Saccharomyces cerevisiae S288C: one gene and its partners. The gene in region 1 interacts genetically with each later gene. Each region holds a gene or a part of one and is shown in the gene's direction. Other genes may lie near its edges. The genes, in order: UBX4, ESC2, NAB3 and ROF1.

The links.
Region 2: mutations in UBX4 (region 1) and ESC2 together harm fitness more than expected from each alone (negative genetic interaction), as found in Saccharomyces cerevisiae (3 studies listed by BioGRID).
Region 3: mutations in UBX4 (region 1) and NAB3 together harm fitness more than expected from each alone (negative genetic interaction), as found in Saccharomyces cerevisiae (2 studies listed by BioGRID).
Region 4: mutations in UBX4 (region 1) and ROF1 together harm fitness less than expected from each alone (positive genetic interaction), as found in Saccharomyces cerevisiae (one large-scale study listed by BioGRID).

Annotation. Positions count from the first base shown.
Region 1 is NC_001145.3:403,754-407,541, reverse strand, and holds UBX4 (Ubx4p), read left to right. Parts: upstream 1-1,968; coding exon 1,969-3,219; downstream 3,220-3,788. Other genes in the region: AVO2 (Avo2p), read right to left, coding at 1-1,238; SOV1 (Sov1p), read right to left, coding at 3,305-3,788. UniProt on the Saccharomyces cerevisiae protein: Involved in CDC48-dependent protein degradation through the ubiquitin/proteasome pathway.
Region 2 is NC_001136.10:1,197,664-1,201,122, forward strand, and holds ESC2 (Esc2p), read left to right. Parts: upstream 1-1,519; coding exon 1,520-2,890; downstream 2,891-3,459. Other genes in the region: transcription factor TFIIIC subunit TFC6, read right to left, coding at 1-1,034. UniProt on the Saccharomyces cerevisiae protein: May be a substrate targeting component of a cullin-RING-based E3 ubiquitin-protein ligase complex RTT101(MMS1-ESC2). Involved in HMR and telomere silencing via the recruitment or stabilizing of the SIR (silent information regulators) complex.
Region 3 is NC_001148.4:184,817-189,415, reverse strand, and holds NAB3 (Nab3p), read left to right. Parts: upstream 1-1,690; coding exon 1,691-4,099; downstream 4,100-4,599. Other genes in the region: GUP2 (putative O-acyltransferase), read right to left, coding at 1-262; COA2 (Coa2p), read left to right, coding at 903-1,109. UniProt on the Saccharomyces cerevisiae protein: May be required for packaging pre-mRNAs into ribonucleoprotein structures amenable to efficient nuclear RNA processing. Binds to poly(A)+ RNA. Appears to act in the maintenance of CLN3 mRNA levels.
Region 4 is NC_001140.6:454,735-458,475, forward strand, and holds ROF1 (Rof1p), read left to right. Parts: upstream 1-1,856; coding exon 1,857-3,218; downstream 3,219-3,741. Other genes in the region: FMO1 (N,N-dimethylaniline monooxygenase), read left to right, coding at 1-793.

The DNA of each region.
Region 1 (3,788 bases):
ATGGGTATGTTCAGAAGTGACACTCGTCTCCTCGGCTCGCCATTGTTTACCTTAATCTTGTACTTGTTCTCGTTCTCATCGTCCGGGTCCTTTCTTAGTCCCATTCCTATAGTGGCATCACCGCCATTGCCGCCGCCACCGTCATCGTTGATTGTAGCTGTCTGTGAGTCTCCTCTCACGTTGTCATTGCTCTTGTTAGGCAACAAGTATCTATTAATCAACGCGATGTTGTTGTGCGGACTTGTTGGTGTTGCACTGTGTCGTACTGATTCAGATACAAGCTCTTTCTTGGGCGACACACCTACTGGAGTCTTGACGTTGATGGAGTTCACTCTTAGTCTCGAGCTGGAATTTGAGCTTGACGAAAAACTGTCCGTAGACAAGGTTGGTTTTCGTGGGTTGAATACTGGATTTGTGATAGAACTCCTCCGATTCCCACCGTTACCGCTTGTTGTATGCGTTGATATCCTTCTTGGTAATACCGGCAACGGACTATTATTGGAATAGAGCGAATATGGCGAATTCATGCTTAAAACTGGGGAAGGCCCGTCCTCGAAAGTGGCCTTCGCATTTAGTATAGGAGTTCTGAATGAACTTGGTTTTTTGCCTGCACCCAACGGTGGCCCCTTCTTTTTCACCTCTTTTAACACTTTTGAATATATATTACCTACTTCAAACGTTTGTGCTACATCTATTGGCTTCCAATTTCCCTTGTCCCTGACATTATCATCCAAGGACACCTCACCTTCATTGAGAAGCATCTTCATACAACTTATACTGCCATACTCCAGGCATACATGCAGCGGCGTGTCGCCATTAGTGTCCATTACCCATAAATCAGCACCAACTCCTATCAACAGACTCAGACATTGGTAGTAATCGTTCATACATGCTATATGGATGGGGGCTCTACCATTCTCTCCGCGATGGTTGATAAATCGCGGAAATTGTTGCAAAAGTAAATGTAAGGTTTGCTCGTGCCCTTTCATTAATGCTAAATGCACACAGGTGTTTCCTTTAAAGGTTTTTATTAGTTCATGCTTGTCGTGCCCCAGCTGAATTAAATACACGCATATAAGGTATCTTCCATGGTATGAGGCGTAATGTAATGAACTCCATCCGTTCTCTGAGTCTATGTTGGTTAGCAAATCCGGATTCCGTCGCAATAATCTTTTCACTATAAGTAAATTGCCTTCAATAATAGCCTCCCGCAAGCGAACTGAGGGCTCTTTCAACATCTTTTGTTCAATATATCCTCTTTTCTAATGGGCGTTTTTTTTTTTTATTTTTAGGGTCCAGTTGATTTATACATTTTCAATTGTACCAGATCAAAAAAGTCTAGAGGAAAAAAACGTAATTAAGACAGAAGAAAAAAAGTATCAACTCCGGAATAACCGGGCCGCAAGAGAAATCAAACAATTAGTTGCACGAACATTTTTATCAGGAATAAGCAGGTAAGGGTAGGTATAAAGGTCAGCTCAGTACACGTATATCGTGTGAGTTATCTTTATTAAAATAATGATTCCAGAATAAGCGATGAGAGAGTAACGCTATTGGAATATGATATGGGAAATATCTTGAAACAATTTCAATAATTTGTCCATGTTTATGCAGTGTTGTACAAGCGTTTTTAAAGAAACTGTATAATATTCAAGATAGCGGGCGCCTCAACCGCTGTTTTGCTCCTCTTTTCTCTTGGAACTCTTGCCAAGAAAGATGTACGCCTTATAAAACGCTAGATGCTATTTCTTGCAACTTTATTACAAAATTTCAGCACTATTTCTTGCAATCCTAGATGTTTCCCTGTCTTCTATCTTCGATGTTAATTTAGACGTTTCTTCAAAGATTCAAGTTCTCTTTTATTGTACTATGTGTGGCAAAAAAAAAAGAAAACCAAAAAATGCAAAAACTAAGATAAATCTACGTACTGCGAAGAATAGCAAGGCAGACTAATAAGCGCACAATACAATGCCTATGGTTACCGTGAAGTATAACTTCCAACTTTTCAAATGTAAAGTTTCGTTGAATTCAACACTAAACGATGTGTTACACCAATCCATACAATTCTTTCAACTGCACACCTCGTCAAACGACTGGTCATTGATACATTTGGATAAACCGGTGCCATTAGATTTGCCATGGAGGCTTCTAAACTTACCAACGGGTGTCAACTTAGAATTATCTAAAAGTAGTAATTTTCCGGTGGCGAATAAGACCAACCGCGAAGATATTCCATTCAATACGATCAAAATACGGTTTCAAATCCCAGGAAGAGATTCCGTGGTTAAAGAAATGCCATCTGACCAACCAATTGCCCCTATCTTGCGACAGATGAGCGGCGCTGCGGGAGATGATTTTAAGATCCAGGTCTTTTCCAAGATAATAGAGTTCAAAACAATTAAGGATGAGAATTTGACTCTCGAAAATTTAGGGATTCAGGAGCCTTCGTCAGTTAGATTGATTTTTAATAATACATCTCATTCTGAGGGCATTAGCGCTAATAGCGCTATTCACCCAAAACAAACTCCCCCTACGATGACGAACCCGGAAACGGTTGCTTCACTACCACCTCACGAACTACATAAACCTTCTGTGTTTTTGCCCTCGGATGAGCCATTAGCAGTTATCAAGGATCAAATCGAGGATGAAGAAGATTATGAATTGACAGTAGAACAAGCCAAGAAATACCAAAAAATGTTATCATCGAAGGCTGGTACTTTGGGTGGTCCTATTTTGACAAAGAGACTTAGAGAGCAATCAGCCAACAACTTGCCAAAGAAAAATAAGGCTATATCTGAGTGTTTGCTGAGAGTCAAGTTCCCCGATAGAAGCCATATTCAAATAGCATTCAAACCCAATGAAGACATGCGTACAGTTTATAACGTCGTGTCGCAGTTCCTGATCGATGAGAACATGCCTTTTACGTTAAACCAATCTCATCCTTTCAAACCCTTGGCTAAAGACGATAAGAAGCTACTGGATGACCTGGAATTTGGCTCTAAAACAATGCTGCTTTTTGAAACAAATTCAAATTCTAATGGCCCATTAATAAAGGCTCATCTTTTGGAAGACGCACAAAAAATCACACACGAAACGAGGACAACCCCATCAGTTAATACGATAAATAAATCCAATCCACAGGGCCCTTCTGATAACGCTACAAGTATCAAAAAGACTTTAAATAGAGTACCTAAATGGATGAAATTAAGTAAAAAATAAATACAAAGCTAAACAGTCTCCTCTTTTAACTTTATTACAAATATGTACACGTATAGCTAAAATTATATAAAATGCATCCGTTTTTTTAGGCTTTTATCTTTAACTTATTTACATCTTCTATTAATTCTTCGAGTAAAGTAAACTCTGTTCCTAATTCTTTAAAAGCATCTTCTACCATCAAGAAAGTAGAACAATCACTTTTTTCCTTCCATTTTATAAAGATCAAAATCTCCCTGATCAAATGGGATATTGTATTCTCTTGATTTGTACCCTGTGGAATGTTTTTTAAGATTGACTCATTATTCATTAGCTCCGCCTTCCGTAACTTGTACTCACAAGCATCTTTACTGATGTTACTAATATCTCGTAAATATTGTCTTTTCAAACCCTTTAGAATATACATACTCAAATCGTAATCAATATTCAAGTCAAATTTTTTCGTTAGAAACGTTAATATGGCAGGTATTGCTTCTAAATCCCCGCTTTTCATGAACGTGGACACAATTAATTTAGAAAAAGTTTTGTCTGGCAAAATTTCACCATTTTCTGCCGTCATTTGGAACAATACT
Region 2 (3,459 bases), on another chromosome or scaffold:
TTGAAAATTTGTATACAGGAGGAGTGCTTCTCCTTGTCAAACATTTCTAAATGCTCGTTCAAAGGCTCATCCATGTACTGTGATACCGCGACGGCTAAATATTGTATATCCTTGCCTATATCAGTATTTTCCTCTATATTAAGCCATGCAATATCTGTTACCAATCCTCCTACGTTGTAAATAAAGCCGCGCCTTTTGCCGTTAGCAAGCACCGGAAACTCTATTTTATCGCCAGTGGATACCTCTGCATCAACTTCCCCGATAAGTAACTTCAATCTCTTCGTTCTCAATTTGATCATATTCTCAAATTCAGTCTTATTAATTTCATGATATACGGTTCTGTTTTTATCCCCTATGACTTTATTATATGCACTTTCCTTTTTACACGGTGGATCTAAGCATACAAAATATGGAGAATCAGGCTGAATATTCTTGAATGGGAAATCGAAAACGCTAGTTTCAAAGCCTTCCTTAACTTTTGCTAGCAACAATAACTTTTCCTTATTCAGTCCATAAATTCTTTCAATCTTGTCTCTTGCACTCGAAAGATCTTTTAGGAGCCTGATGGGACGGCCCTTCTGTCCTAGACTTGACCCTGGGGAGCTGCTCTTCATATTTTTAGTCGAATTCTTCTTCAAACGAAGTTTCTGTACAGTATTTCTTCTTCCACTGGGTCTAACAGAAGCTCCACTTCCACTACTGTTTAAATCCGCCACCTCATTTTTAGTAGACTCTAACTCATTCTCAAATTCTATCTCAACATTGTCACTTTCCTCACCATCACCTTCATCATTCAATACAAAATCATCATCGTCGGTGTCATCAACATTATTGACTTGTGTAGTATTTATCACATCATCGCGACCAGCATGCACTAATTGTGCGAAATTTGCAACTGCTTTCTTAGATGCGTTTCTCCTCGGCCTTTTACTGCCTGAGTTTTCAGATACTGGGCTTGCCAAGCTATCATAGGGAACTTCTGCTACCACAGATTTTCTAGGTCTTCCTCTTTTCTTTGCCGGTATTACTGCCATCGCCACAACTTAATATATTATTACACGTATCGCAATGGAGCAAGTTAGAGAAATTTCGCTAATGGATCAAAGAGTACTAGCTTTAGTTTTTAGGACATGAAACTGCTCTTACTGAGTAGAAATCAAAGCTTTAACAACTCATCCAGGCTTTCTCGAACAAAAAATGGAATGTTGTTTATCTTCTTTTGCAACGTAGGGTTTTCGAACCGCAGCTTTCCGGGTGATACTGAATCCCTTCTATTTCCTTACAGAAGACAGCAAATTTTATTGTAGCATATAAGAAAAGAAATGACAGGCAGAGGAGGGACCAGCATGCCTATGAATTCCCAATACCATATATCACTTTGACAGCGTATATCGCAATTGAAATAGAACAACTTTTCATTATTACTTCAGAATTCATTTTAAAGTGATTGCGAACACGGATTATAGCCCTGAACAATAAAAGGCAAGAGAAAAAATCATTTGTTTTAGGCTGTTAACAGATGACCGGTGATTCCAGAAGCATCAGCGAACCCTCAATTAATCTAGATCCAGATAATACAAGTTTTTCTGATGAAAACAGCGATGACTTCTTTATGGACAATTCCTATGATATAGATGAAATCGATCATAGCGATGAAAGTAATAGGCAAAGTGTCATAGTTGACTCTAAAGTCACGGTACCGCCATCAAAGCATTCAACTCTAACATTATCTGATAGTGAAGATAGCGACGCAAAGGAACAACATCAGTCCCTGAGCAGATCATCTAGTAAAAATGTAAATATAGAAGATATTACGGAGCCCAAGCCAGACAAACCATCGGGTCGAACTAGAGGAAGATCTGTGATGAAAGAGTCTGTAGTTGAAATAAACTCATCTGAATCTGACTTAGACGAAGACAAAAATTTTCCCAGATCTAGGTCAAGGTCCAGGTCAAGCATAAGATCAATATCTCCAGCGGGAAAATACAAGCGACAGAAAAGTTCATTACTGTATACCTATGATGAAAACGATGACTTTTTCAAGGAACTTGCTAAAGAAGCCAAAAAAAGCACCACTATTTCTAAAGAATCGACACCCGACCAGCGGAAGCGAGTTTATAACATCAAATTTCTCTCTAAGCTAGAAGGAACTATAAATAAAGCGGTCCAAGTGAAGGTCCTCGGAAAATACGAATTTTCAAAAATACTTCCTGCTGCTTTGGACGGATTGATGAAGTCCTATAAAATTCCGAAGGTAATGAAAGATATATACAAGGTAGAGAATGTTACTCTTTATTGGAACAATGCAAAATTACTCACTTTTATGACTTGTAATTCGCTACATATCCCACAGGATTTTGAAAATGAAGTCTCTGATATCGATGTTACTATCGTATCCAAAGAATACGAAAAGAACTTTGAAGCGACACTGGAATCAAAGTTAAAGGAAGAAGAAGCTGCTTTACTCATAAAAGAACGTCAGGAGATGGAAAGGAAGTTAGAGAAAAAGAGAAATGAACAAGAAGAGTCCGAATATCGCGAGTTTGAATCCGAATTAAAAAACGTAGAAGAAACACAAGAAATAAAAGAAAATGATACAGTTATGAATACAAAACTTCTGCAAGAGGGTGGCTCTTTGTCAGGAAATAGTAGTAGCATGGAAGAAGTTATGAGAATCGCTCTCATGGGTCAAGATAACAAAAAAATCTATGTCCATGTTAGGCGTTCAACACCATTTTCTAAAATTGCCGAATATTACAGAATCCAGAAACAGTTACCACAAAAGACGAGGGTTAAATTACTTTTTGATCATGATGAATTGGACATGAATGAGTGTATAGCCGATCAGGATATGGAAGATGAAGACATGGTTGATGTCATTATTGATTGAGCGCAATTTGCTAAAAAAGGCCGAACTCCGGCTCTTTACGTGCCACAATTATTATTTACTATGGGCGGCGGGTGTGTTGGTGGTGCTTGCGGTACTTGTAAAATATTTTCTGAATATAATTGAATAAGACCTTTTGTGTTTAAATCATACTCGGGTAATTCTCTGTTCAAAAAGTAGGTGCTGACCCTCTTCTACCTTCCGTGAAATATTATAAAGGAATTTTTCCATCTCTAACTCAACATGTTAACGCTTTTCTATAAAAATTTGATCGCCTAATGAATACAAAAATCTCTTCAGCTTTTTCGTGCTAGGTTTGAATAGTACATCTAACGTAGAACAACTATCAAAACAATTTGATATTTCCTCGGCTATAGTTTTCTTGGAACAAGAGGTAAACTACTTCTCTATTGTTGCTACAGCAGTCAATTAAAATAATTCGTTTCATCATAATATTATGATATCAACGCTAAAAGGTTGTATAAATTACGAGATCAGCAGAAAATAAAATTCAAGCCATCATCCTTTAAGGTGATTTGAAGGGCAAGAATTGGTAGTGTAACTGCATCAAT
Region 3 (4,599 bases), on another chromosome or scaffold:
TGAAAGGAACTACTACGGTGAACGCCAAATAATATAGTCTAAATTCCCATGTATTCCATAGCGGAGGAGATGGGCTATTAGAGCTGAGCACAGGGTTACGGGTAACAGTAACGGCACTAGAAGATGAACCATTCTCTTCTTTAGATGAATTGATAAATATCCTTTGTCGCCTTTTGAATTCAATGTCTGGCTTTATTCGTGAATCAAGTGCCTGCACGGAAAAGAAATGTACGATGCAACTCCAGATTCTTAACATCGACATCTGACTTGTAGCGATGACGTCAATTATTTTTGAGCCCTATAATAAGGTAGTTGAGAAGACAAATTTGAAGCACCCAAAAACCCTCAAAACAGTACCTACCTCAAAGCTAGCTTCTCTTTCTTCTTCTATTTGACTTCATTTTTTCCATATTCACCATTGGTACCTTCCATAAACAACTATAACGCAGTACAAATGAAAAAAGAAGAAAAAAAAAAGAAAAAAAAAGAGACCTAAACGCGCCAAGATTACAGGTAAACGAGTAGAACTTTGATCTATGTGCCTGAAAACCCCTCGGGCACAGGGTTCATAACGAAAAAAAAAAAATCGTAAGTAATGGTAACCATAGTAACCGATGCATGGGTTTTAAAAGTCACGTGCTTAAGTCCATTAAGACCGGAAACCTCTACACCAGTTCTCCTTCTGCAAGGGTTTTCTTTTTTTATTTTTTTTGATGGGATGGCTCTCTTTCCCCGTGTTTGTACTTTTGATATATATAGGATATTCATCAAAACAGCGTTTCGAACTCAGCGCTTGCACGATAACATAAGCACCTCGAGACACATTAGGAAAATTTAACATCCTATTTATTTATTGAATTTACAGGCACGGAAGGCCAATTAGTTTAATTCAGACACATATCATGAGAGCAGTCACTAGAAACAAAATAGTCAATAACCTATACTTTTCTACATTTCTCATTGCATTCGCATCAGTGGCCATCGGTTCTGTGCTGCCATGTCCAGCACATTCAGTGGATTCTGATTCACCAGCTGTACAGCAACACAAGCTTCAGCTTGCTCATGAGCAGGAGTTAAAGAGGAAGGATGCTTTAAGTAAAAAGATTTAAACAGGTACGGGCTATCTGGAACTTTTGATAAGTTGTATTCTATCTCTTTTATTTCCTCTTTTTATTTATTTTCGAGTGCCGTAATCTTCGCTACTTCAAGTTTCATAATCAATCGACTTTCTGTATGGGTAAGCATCTGGTGTGATGCAGTTTCATTATGACACCACAAATACAAAAGAGACTATTTAAATATGTATATAGATCACATTCCAAAAAAGAAAACCATTAATAATATCACTCTTTAATATTCCAAATTGAAACGAAAAAGCGCTATTCTTATTCGCTTCCTAACTACCGCCCTAGTTCGTGCTTGCATTTTTTTGTAGAACGATAAATTATGGTATCCCACGTGATTGAGTGTAACCCTGAATTGTTGAAGAGAAAATGAAGCGGAAGAAGCAAAGGACAAAAAACAATTCATTTGATTTTGCCACTTCTAAATGAAGGTCTAATAAAAGCTATCTTGAGCATCTTTATTAGATTCTGCACAGCAACAAGCGATTTTCTTTGGTCAAAATATAATAATTGACTTACGTTTTTCCCGGACTGTCCTTTCATAATATAATAACCATCTGCAAGCCATGTCAGATGAAAACCATAACAGTGATGTTCAAGATATTCCTTCACCTGAACTATCCGTCGATAGTAACTCTAACGAGAATGAATTGATGAATAACTCAAGCGCAGACGATGGAATCGAATTTGACGCCCCAGAGGAAGAAAGAGAAGCCGAAAGGGAGGAGGAAAATGAAGAACAACACGAACTGGAAGATGTGAACGATGAAGAGGAGGAAGATAAGGAGGAAAAAGGAGAGGAAAACGGGGAAGTAATAAACACAGAAGAAGAAGAAGAAGAAGAACATCAACAAAAAGGCGGAAATGATGATGACGATGATGATAATGAAGAGGAAGAAGAGGAAGAAGAGGATGATGACGATGATGATGATGACGACGATGATGATGAAGAAGAAGAAGAAGAAGAAGAAGAAGAAGGCAACGACAACAGTTCGGTAGGCTCAGATAGTGCCGCTGAAGACGGTGAGGATGAGGAAGACAAAAAGGATAAAACCAAAGATAAAGAGGTCGAACTTCGCCGTGAAACATTGGAAAAAGAACAAAAGGACGTAGATGAAGCTATAAAAAAAATAACTCGTGAAGAAAATGATAATACTCACTTTCCAACTAATATGGAAAATGTTAATTACGATCTTTTACAAAAGCAAGTCAAGTACATTATGGACAGTAACATGCTAAATTTGCCTCAGTTTCAACATTTACCTCAAGAAGAAAAGATGTCTGCGATTTTAGCAATGTTAAATTCAAATTCTGACACAGCTCTTTCCGTACCTCCTCATGATAGTACTATCTCAACAACAGCTAGCGCCTCAGCCACAAGCGGCGCAAGAAGCAATGATCAAAGAAAACCTCCATTGTCAGATGCCCAAAGACGTATGAGATTTCCTAGGGCGGATTTATCTAAGCCGATTACCGAAGAAGAACACGACCGTTATGCAGCCTATTTGCACGGTGAAAATAAAATCACCGAGATGCACAATATTCCTCCGAAGTCAAGATTATTCATTGGTAATTTGCCGCTAAAGAACGTTTCTAAGGAGGATTTATTTAGGATTTTCTCTCCATACGGTCATATCATGCAAATCAATATCAAAAATGCCTTTGGATTCATTCAGTTTGACAACCCTCAAAGCGTTAGAGATGCAATTGAATGCGAGTCTCAAGAAATGAACTTTGGCAAAAAGTTGATCCTGGAAGTTTCTAGCTCGAATGCTCGTCCTCAATTTGATCATGGTGATCACGGTACAAACAGTAGTTCTACTTTTATTTCTTCCGCAAAACGACCATTTCAAACTGAATCTGGTGACATGTACAATGACGACAATGGTGCTGGCTACAAGAAATCCAGAAGACACACCGTTTCTTGCAACATTTTCGTTAAAAGAACCGCAGATCGTACGTATGCCATTGAGGTTTTCAACAGGTTTAGGGACGGGACTGGTTTGGAAACTGATATGATTTTCTTGAAACCAAGAATGGAACTGGGAAAGCTTATCAATGATGCCGCATATAATGGGGTGTGGGGCGTTGTTTTAGTTAATAAAACACACAATGTAGATGTTCAAACTTTCTACAAAGGCTCACAAGGTGAAACGAAATTTGATGAATATATTAGCATATCCGCTGATGACGCAGTTGCCATTTTTAATAACATCAAAAACAACAGAAATAATTCTCGTCCTACTGATTACCGTGCTATGAGCCATCAGCAAAACATATATGGCGCTCCTCCTCTTCCTGTTCCAAACGGCCCAGCTGTCGGACCTCCTCCTCAAACAAACTATTACCAGGGTTACAGTATGCCTCCTCCACAACAACAACAGCAACAGCCATATGGTAATTATGGGATGCCACCACCATCCCATGACCAAGGATATGGTTCTCAACCTCCAATTCCAATGAATCAGAGCTACGGTCGCTACCAGACTTCTATTCCACCACCACCTCCACAACAACAAATTCCTCAAGGGTATGGTCGTTATCAGGCTGGTCCGCCTCCTCAACCACCTTCTCAAACTCCAATGGACCAGCAACAACTATTATCTGCCATTCAAAACCTTCCACCTAACGTTGTATCGAATTTGCTTTCAATGGCCCAACAACAGCAACAACAACCTCATGCTCAGCAGCAATTGGTTGGTTTAATACAATCAATGCAAGGCCAGGCTCCTCAACAACAGCAACAACAGTTGGGTGGATATTCCTCTATGAACTCATCCTCTCCCCCTCCTATGAGTACCAATTACAATGGTCAAAATATATCTGCAAAACCCTCTGCCCCACCAATGTCACACCAACCTCCGCCACCTCAACAACAACAACAACAACAACAACAGCAACAGCAACAGCAACAGCAACCTGCTGGCAATAATGTTCAAAGTCTATTAGATAGTTTAGCAAAACTACAAAAATAGACTCCCTTTTTTCAATCTTTTCCATTTCTTGTACATTATACTTGAATTCTTTTAATTGGACGAAAAATTTTTAAGGAAAGTAGATTGATATGGTTTGCATAAATTCGACATAGCGGTTTATGCTTTAATCGTTTTCCCTTCCCAAATTGGACTAGGACTTAATTCTTACTATTGCTGCATCTCTTTCAGAACGAAAAACTCTTTACCCTGTTATAAATTTCTTTTATTTCTTCCTTATCAAATGCTATTTGGTCTATTTATTTCACTTACACGCACCTCTTCATTTGTTTCCTCTGCCAAGAGAATGGCTTTTCATTTCTTTTTCTTCTCTTTAGTTAAATGTTCTTATATCAAAACTTTGTAAAATTGCTTTGTAAACAGATTATTAAGTACCGCTCTATTTACCCCATAACGAAAAGAAGTTCCGCGCTTAGGACACCTTTCCCTAGAGGTTCTTGTTTGATTTGTTTTAGTCATCTGCCTGTCGTTTATTTTAGTTT
Region 4 (3,741 bases), on another chromosome or scaffold:
CGACAATAAGGGCGCCTTTCATTCTAAGGATTTCAAAAACTGCGAGTTTGCCCGTGAAAAAGTCGTTATTGTGGTGGGAAACGGCAGTTCCGGCCAAGATATTGCCAACCAACTAACTACCGTTGCAAAGAAAGTATATAATAGTATAAAAGAGCCTGCGAGCAATCAACTGAAGGCCAAGTTAATCGAGACTGTCCAAACAATAGACAGTGCCGATTGGAAAAATCGTTCAGTTACTTTATCTGATGGAAGAGTACTTCAGAATATAGACTACATTATTTTCGCCACAGGCTATTATTACAGCTTTCCATTTATAGAGCCCTCCGTTAGACTGGAAGTGCTAGGTGAGGGTGTTACTGGCGACAAGCACTCGTCTGTCAATCTGCACAATTTGTGGGAGCACATGATCTATGTAAAAGATCCTACGCTGTCCTTTATCTTGACCCCGCAGTTGGTCATCCCGTTCCCGTTGTCGGAACTACAGGCGGCTATTATGGTCGAAGTATTCTGTAAAAGCTTACCGATAACTACAACTTTCGACTCTAATGCCTGCGGAACGCACAACTTCCCAAAGGGAAAGGACCTGGAATACTATGCAGAACTACAGGAACTACTGAATAGCATTCCACGTAGGGTCGGTCATTTCGAACCAGTTGTATGGGATGATAGACTGATCGATCTAAGAAACAGTAGTTATACAGACAAAGAAGAAAGAAATGTGCTTCTAGCGGAACACGCACAAGCCCTAAAGAAAAAAAAAGCACCATACTTCCTTCCGGCGCCACATACTTAACGTAAAAAGGAATGTACTTGTATAGAAAAAACACATATTGTGCCGCTTAATATTTCGTTTCCCTCATGTATATACCTTATCGCTGTTAAAATAAGAAATCTTCACTTCTGCTATCTTTTTTTTTCAAACATTGATTAATAATCCGGCCGTCCGCAGATTGCTTACGCAGAATATACCGTACCGCCACCGTAAAATTAACGAATACTTAAATTTCCGCCTCTTCCGTTTCGGCAATAGCGAACCTTAATGTAAGTTTTTAAAAGGCAGCGCCAAAAATTGCTCTGAAAGGCCTGCAGTGCTTCGCGGCTACGCAGTTCCCATGTAAAAAAAAAAGAAAACTTTCTTTTTGAATCTGGAAAATCCGCACAGGCGCGCCAGCATAAACCTCAGTATCCTGCAAAGGCCATCCTTTTAAAGATCTTAACAACGTATGAATCTGAGGCAGAGAGAAATTAAGCGATAAACGTTCCTTTTAGACTTTCACTTTCTTGGCCGTCATTTAAAAAAAAATTATCTAATAATCTCTAATTTTAAGTTGAAATCACGCTAACATATGACTATGACTATTAACCTTTTTATGTGGAAAAAAAAGGAAGAATATGTTGTAAACGTATTTTAGCCTTGTTCCCGGAACTTTAATCACTCTGGCAACTTTTTAAGTAGTCTGTCTTTTTCTCGGTCGTATATTCCTCAAAATTCAAGAGGAAAGAGGAAGTGAAGAAGAAAGCCTAGAAAAAAAAAATAGGCATTAACACAAAAACGCACCTAAGGGACTGAGGAAAATCAAAAAAATGATAATTGCAGTTAGTAAATCTTCATAATCGACGCCCACTTATTCTTTCTTTATAGTACCGGGTAGGCGGGTAATTCATACGTAGCTGCTGCGGGAGAACTACTATGTATCATTCCCTGTTTATTTGTATGAATTATTATTTAATACGTACATTCTTGTAAGCCCTTCTTCAACAAAACAAACAAATAAAGCGAGAAAAAAGGGAACCACGAATTAAGATAATTAATCAAACAATAGATAGGAAAAGGAGATCGACGAGTAAGCGTAAGAATGATGGATATCAGCCCTACCTGTTATGGGTACATCGACGACGAGCAAGATCTAGCCCTTGTTTTCCAGGGCGTATTCAATGGAAATTTGAGATGCATCGAACGGAGGCCATATGATGCAGAAAAGGTTGAATTAGTCAACCCCGGAAACATTTTTGTTTTCAACGAAGAGAAATCCGGCATCAAAAGATGGACAGATGGTTTTTCTTGGTCTCCTTCAAGAATTTCAGGCAAATTTCTCGTATATAGAGAGTATAATAGGCTGGGTTCCACGCACGATCTACCGCTGCATAATGTACCTGAGTATAATATCTTCGAGAGGGCTCATAGGAAGTATTTTTATACTGGACTACTGAAAAAAACATTTTCTCTAAAATTCAATATGGATCCCACCGACAGCACTAAGCTGGAAACATTTCATCTTATTGCGTACTATACGGAAAAGGATATTCATCAAGGAAGTTTGAGGAGACCTTCAGAAAATCCTTTCTTCCATAAATTTCGACCTTCACAGAAACTATTAGATGCTTTACAAAAAGTTGCTGTAGGAAATGGCAGATCTAACCCGTCTAAAAATAATGAGAGAGGCAGAACCAAAGCTCATAATTATAAAACGCGCAGGTCTTTATCATCTTCTCCGAGCTATTGTGATCTCTTGAGCAATTATAACAACCATCCTGGAAATATTCCAGTTAGGACCGCAGTTCAGTTACCTTTAACCACCTTCAATAACGCTCCTCGAGAAATGCACCAACAGCAGCACCGACAACAGCAACAATATCTCTTACCCATAGATGAACAGAATAAATTACCTCTCCCGTATATGCAGCACCAGCCACAACCAATTGGTGTTTACAATCCTAACTATCAGCCTGGATTGAGACGTACGGTCTCACAACCTATGATTTTCTGCAATACATACAATACTCTCCCGCAACAACCTACTGCAGCACCTTATGAACGGCGTGGCGTGTCGCCTTCAGTGATATACTCCTCCAATACATTGAGCCCAATACCATACCAAAATATCGATCCATACTCTTCGAGGTCGGGTCCTGAATGCAATCACTCTAAGGCGCCTATCGCCCCAACAATGATGCCCCCAGTACACCATATACTTGTGCATGATTACCGACAACCAAAACCAGTCACAGATTCTATTAATCCTCCAAATGTAAACATAACCACCTCCACAACCAACAAGAACCTAGATGGCATTTATATTTTGCCAGCTCCTCGTATGAATCCCCCGGCTCAAACACAATACCAAATGATTCATGCGCCAGACAGCATGCAACATCCACCAACATTTAGTAAAAACAACACATCAAGCAATCCTAAATCCCACCAATACTCAAAGTAGAAGATCAGCATCCTTTCAATTGCTGAAAGGTTCACCTAAAGTACCGCTCATATTCCAAAAGGATTCTTCACTACATAGAAAGGGCAGCCAATTGTGTGTTTTTCAGAAAGGGTTTTAAAAAAACAGGAGGGTGCTTGTTCTTGTTGTTCCCTACCATCGATGGATTTCGAAAAACTATTTATAGGACCATCTGATTTTCACCTCCATCATTGTATCATATACTAACAAGCATATCCAAATTTGTAATTCTATCATGAAATTTCCAGAGAAAGAAACGCAAGGGAACTGAGAAATCAAACCTAAAAACGGTTCTTGGCATTGTTATGAAAAATGAATAAACCAGGGGGGCAAAACAATCGAGAACCCCAATCAAAACCATGTGAGATACCCACTTCGAAAGTTACTGATATTATAACTCTTGTGTCCTCTCTTCTAATACCTTACTTTCACCTTTCTCACGTAGTTAAAGTTGCAACAACACATTTTGTCCTCATCCAATTTCTTCTATAGAATATCCGTTTGC